Linked DNA regions of Kluyveromyces lactis. The protein of the gene in region 1 purifies or fractionates together with the protein of each later gene. This does not show direct contact. Links are inferred from orthologs where the notes say so. Each region holds a gene or a part of one and is shown in the gene's direction. Other genes may lie near its edges.

Region 1 (3,547 bases):
TTTAATTTTATTATTATTATGATCATTCACCGTGTGCTTCGAACGTTATGTACATTGGTTTGAGGGGGGGAATCTTTTTCCTAGAACAATGAATGAACAGTTTCATAGACACCTAGGAAGATGGCACCACCAGCACTGATCCACATTGTTCTTGGTCCAACACCACTGAAAAAGACCTTGACACCTTCTTCTTGCAACATAGTCTTGGCCAAATGAAGAGCTGAGACGGACTTATGGTGCAACATGATTCTCGTCTTCAACACATCTAATGGCGTCGTGGCAGCAGCAGCGATCCCACCGGCTATACACCCACAAACAGACCCCTGCCAAGGCGCGGCGCGCTCTTTACCTTGCACCTCGGCCCACCTCTTCTTCATATACTCATACAATGGGAATTGAATACATGTAAACGGGATTTCCCTCATTATGGTAGTGGACCAGCCACGGTACAGATTCCTGCGCAAACCTTCTCCGTTCTCATTACGTAGTAACGCCTGCAAAGTTTGCAAAGAAGAATTTGTCCTATGAGTCTGTGTCCGTTGCTTGATCACTTCAGCAGGAACACGAACCATACATGCAGAAATCTCACCAAAACTAGAAGAGACCATATGCGAAAGCGTATCTGCCGTTTGATCTTCACCTTTTGGCAAAAGCTGACCGATAACAGGCCGCGACCAGCACTTCATCGAATCATACGCAACGAAAAACAAAGAAGCACTTGGTGCACTCGCAACAACCGCGCTCCCAAGACCACGGTACACACCTTTGTATCCACCATTGGCGAAAAACCCACCTTTAGCTTGTAACCGGGTTTTCAAGGTGTCTATTGGGAAAAATGCCAGATCGGTCGACGTTCCTGCTGCGGCACCACTCACCAAGGACGCAATAAACATCTGAGAATCCATTTCGCACTATTCCCCCAAACTCCGATCTATAAAAGACTCGTCTGAGTCTGTAATTGATGTACAATTCGTCTTTCAAACCAGGTGATGGTGCAACAAATGCAAATCTTTAAATCATACATATGTATATGTTCGGTTCACTGCTCTGGCTTCTTTTTTTTTCAACATAGGATTTGAGGAAAAAAAATCGAGAAATGAAAATAATTGGAATTTGGGAGGGAAACACATCTTGACTAATGCAAGAATCAGAATCAAAATAGAGGAGAAGAAGAGTTTAGAGAGCAACAAAGGGTCTATATTCTCAGTTGCGTATTAGGAAATTGTCTGATAGTACAAGACCTAATTTTAGAAACAAGAATTGATTGATACATTCAGTGTACTTTCAGTGATATCCCAGGTTTTTTTGTTCATTGTTTTTAAGGACAAAAGCTCGGTTTTAAAAGGAGTTATAGTTCTAAGATCGTATACAAGTTTCAAGCAACAGTCTACTATCCTAAGATAGATATTGTAATGACGATGACATTGTTAAGAGGAGTGAGTGTTTTTTCCAGGCGTGTGCCCGTTGCTGGTGGTTTTGGCTATTTGAAGCGTGCTGATATTAGTAACGTTGTTTTACAGGGACGGACGTATGCAAGTGCCAAGGTTGCCTTAGCAGAAGATTTGACTTTGGAAACGCATACAGATAACCAAGCAGCAGCTATTGAGCAAGCCAACGAAAGAGCCGTGTCAAATCCCGATGTTTTGGACAGTGGTATACATTCTTTGCAACATGCATACCGTGAATCCGGGGAATACGGTACAAGACCTATATATCTCGACATGCAAGCTACCACTCCAACAGACCCAAGAGTTCTAGATACCATGTTGAAATTCTACACGGGGCTTTATGGTAATCCTCATTCAAATACTCATAGCTATGGTTGGGAAACTAACAAGGAGATCGAACAAGCAAGAAAATACATCGCCGATGTTATCAAAGCTGATCCAAAGGAGATAATCTTCACTTCCGGTGCTACAGAATCAAATAATATGGCTTTGAAGGGTGTCTCAAGGTTTTACAAGAAGACAAGAAACCATATTATCACTACAAGAACTGAACACAAGTGTGTGTTAGAAGCCGCCAGAGCTATGAAGAACGAAGGATACGAAATCACATTTTTGAATGTTGATGAGCAGGGTTTGATCAATTTAGAAGAGTTGGAAGCTGCGATCAGACCTGAAACTTGTTTAGTTTCTGTTATGGCCGTCAACAACGAAATTGGTGTTATGCAACCATTGAAAGAAATTGGTGAACTTTGTAGAAAACGCAAAGTTTTCTTCCATACCGATGCAGCGCAAGCTTATGGTAAGATACCTATCGATGTGAACGAAATGAAAATAGATCTGATGTCCATTTCCTCACACAAAATTTATGGTCCAAAGGGAATTGGTGCCATTTACGTTAGAAGAAAGCCAAGAGTCAGATTAGATCCGCTTATCTCCGGTGGTGGTCAAGAAAGAGGTTTACGTTCTGGTACATTGGCTCCACCTTTGGTTGCCGGCTTCGGGGAAGCAGCAAGATTGATGATGAAAGAATACGAGAACGACTCAAATCACATTAAAAGATTATCTGACAAATTAATGAACGCTTTGTTATCTATTGACCATACAATCTTAAACGGTTCTGCTGACCATCGTTACCCAGGTTGTGTTAACATTTCATTCGCATATGTCGAAGGTGAATCCTTATTGATGGCTCTTAGAGATATTGCTTTGAGTTCTGGTTCTGCTTGTACTTCGGCATCTTTAGAACCATCTTATGTGTTGCATGCATTGGGTAAAGATGATGCTTTAGCACACTCTTCCATCAGATTCGGTATTGGTAGATTCACCACTGATGAAGAAATTGATTACGTTATCAAGGCTATCACGGAAAGAGTTGATTTCCTAAGAGAGTTGTCCCCATTATGGGAGATGGTCAAGGAAGGTATTGACTTGAACTCCATCGAATGGTCAGGTCATTAAGCTGGAACAAAAGTGATCTATATCATAGATTCATCATTTTATTTTCTTGCTAGAGTGCATACCAAATCTTTATCTGGTTTCTCAATTTACATGATCTCCCGTTATAACTCGGGGAACTACTACCGTATATACTTTGTTCCTCGATTTCAAAGTACAATCATAATCTCATCTGACTTATCGTTTTTTCTTTTATCTTTCTCTTCATCTCAATATTATGATTAGATTGTTTTGTAAGCTTTTCTACCTGAAATATGCACCAATATTCAGAATATCTCGTTTGCCAGTTTTTATACAAGTCTTTCTATAGTTAAGTATAAAAATGTTATGTTATTAACGTTCAAATGCTCAATCACATCTGGACAAGCAAATTTCCTTGTCTTCAGTTCATTTTGGGTATGCTCCTTTAGATTTAACACATTGCAGGCTAACCGGAACCTGTATTATTTAGTTTATGCTACGTTAAATAAAGACCTTTCGTTCACATAACTGAATGTGTAATGGCCTTGAGATTTCAAGCATACCAAGTTGGTGGAGACGGGGTCGTTACAAAAGACTCTTTAAGCCAAGATTTCCTTGACAGCCTTGGCGATAGCATCGCCAACCTCAGTGGTAGAGTTAGAACCACCAAGGTCACCGGTTCT
Region 2 (2,275 bases), about 180 kb from region 1:
AAATTCATCCACGTTATCAGTGTGGAACCAAGGTTGCAAATATCAGACGAGTATGCCACCAGTGACAAGAAGAATGACAATAACAAGGTCAGATTGTACGTAGAAAACAGGGATTTGAAAACGTTTAGCAGTTCTAGAAGAGTTGCTGGGACACACGGAATCACTGATCTATGGGTAATAGAGTATATTTTTGAAACGAAATCCACTTTCCCAACATTAATGAATAGATCCGAAGTTGTGAAAGTCACTGAGAAACGTCTATCACCAATCAACAACGCCATCAAGTCGTTACAACAAAAGATCCAAGAACTGAGCGGACTTGAAGACATGTGCTATAAACTAATGAAAGAAAACGGCGATTGTTCTGAAGTATTTTCAGAACTGTCAAGAAATATCACAGGTACCATTGATGCACCTATTAACGGTGGTATTGCAGAGTATCGTGTATTCTATACGGATGAAGAAACCAAATCGAAACTAGATCCTGCTGATGTGGAATTATTAGTTGCTGCGTTCAACGAATTGACCATTGTCCTAAACCGTTGTCTCGCACTACACGGACAGCTGTGTCCAATCAGCTTAAGCAAGTCACATACGCTTTTGAAGGACTTATTCGCCAAGAATTTCGAAAAAGAGATCAAAGTTAGCGGAATCGATATCAACGAGACCAACGACGAAATAATCGCAAGAATAAAATCAATCCAGTCATCTCAGCAAAGTTTTTCCAAGAGAAGTAGTATGCTAATGTCAAGATCCATATTCTCAGAGAGCCACTCTATCAGATCTGCTGGAAGTAACGGAAGTGCAACAAAAAACAGTATGCATGATCTCACCGTTACCTCTTCCCATAGAACTACAAAAAGCAACGCGCCATCTCACGCAGCGTCACATGCTACGAGAATATCTCGTCCTACCACACATATCAGCATGCTAAGAAGCACAAGATAGCATAGAATAACTTTCTCCCACTGCAACTGTTCTAATTCTCACCTCATGTAGTCTATATAACAATCCAAATACATTTAGGAAAACATCAAAACGTACGGAGTGATTTATGTGCCTAAGCAATTTTTCCCGGTAAAAAATCGATCAAAAGCCAATTCTTTGCAGAGAGAGAGTTTGGATTAAACCTTTCTACCACAACTATTTTCAACGATCATTTGTTGTACATTCTTTTTATTTTACATTCGATTATTTCAGATCGTTGTTACTGTACAGTATAGTGTCTAGTGATATTACAGAGAGATAAAGAAGGAAAGCAAAGATGTTTAGAAGTGTATTCCGTGCTGCCCCAAGTTTGACCAGAGTTTCTGGATTGAGAAGCGGATTTGTAAAGCCAACTTTTTCAAGTGCTTCCAGGTTCTATGCTTCTTCTTCTCTATCCAAAGAAGAAATCACAACCCGTATTGCTGATGTGATTAAATCTTTTGATAAGACAGCTTCTGCTACTTCGATTACTGCTAACACTCAATTTTCCAAGGATTTAGGATTAGACTCATTGGATACCGTTGAATTGTTGGTTTCCATTGAGGAAGAATTCGATATCGAATTCCCAGATAAGGTTGCAGATGAGCTCAAGTCTGTCGGTGAAACTGTGGAATACATCGCTTCCAGCCCGGAAGCTAACTAAGCAATTGGGATCCGAAACGTTGCCCTTCGGTTTTACCAGAATTTAATGTGGAAGAATGTACATATATTGACACACATATATAACTTATAATGAAAGATAAGATAGTTTTGATGAACTGTTTCATGGCCAAAGTGCTATATGTAAACGTCTATTTGTATATCCTTATTACTCCATATGTTTGAACTTGATTTCCATCGGGTCATATGATTTGTAATTCAAACATTTTTCCTTGCGCCCAATGATCACTGAGTTCAATTTTTAAGGTTATGTAACATGCAAACCACATCTTTAGACAGACGGTTGTTGAGGTAAAGACAATGGTTATAAACGCCATTTAGTATTAGATCCGAACCCATATACTTCCAATATATAAAAAATGAGCCGTGAAGAGAGAGTTTTGAGTGATACTGATAATGAAAATACGAATGAGGAAATAGAGACTGGTATTGATTCCCCGGACGAATCATCTTCAGGGTTGTTCACAGCGGGACGCTCGTTACAATCGAACGTCATAGAAGACCACAACCCTGACTATATATCTGCAGATGCAGAATTGGCCGCAGAGATACCAGATGACACCGAAGTAATTGACTTAGTGCATTTGAAAGTACTGGCGTTGGAAGACTTGAATTTGTTGAGATTTAA

What was found.
Region 2: the proteins of NFS1 (region 1) and ACP1 purify together in Saccharomyces cerevisiae (affinity purification with mass spectrometry; 4 studies listed by BioGRID, with this or other methods). This does not show direct contact. The link is inferred for Kluyveromyces lactis from reciprocal best matches to the Saccharomyces cerevisiae genes NFS1 and ACP1.

What each region holds. Positions count from the first base shown.
Region 1 is NC_006040.1:421,908-425,454, reverse strand, and holds NFS1 (cysteine desulfurase), read left to right. Parts: upstream 1-1,412; coding exon 1,413-2,906; downstream 2,907-3,547. Other genes in the region: PET8 (Pet8p), read right to left, coding at 81-905; LEU2 (3-isopropylmalate dehydrogenase), read right to left, coding at 3,464-3,547. UniProt on the Saccharomyces cerevisiae protein: Catalyzes the removal of elemental sulfur from cysteine to produce alanine. It supplies the inorganic sulfur for iron-sulfur (Fe-S) clusters. Plays a role in both tRNA-processing and mitochondrial metabolism.
Region 2 is NC_006040.1:238,870-241,144, reverse strand, and holds ACP1 (acyl carrier protein), read left to right. Parts: upstream 1-1,264; coding exon 1,265-1,630; downstream 1,631-2,275. Other genes in the region: guanine nucleotide exchange factor DCK1, read left to right, coding at 1-948; type 1 protein phosphatase-activating protein SDS22, read left to right, coding at 2,007-2,275. UniProt on the Saccharomyces cerevisiae protein: Carrier of the growing fatty acid chain in fatty acid biosynthesis. May be involved in the synthesis of very-long-chain fatty acids.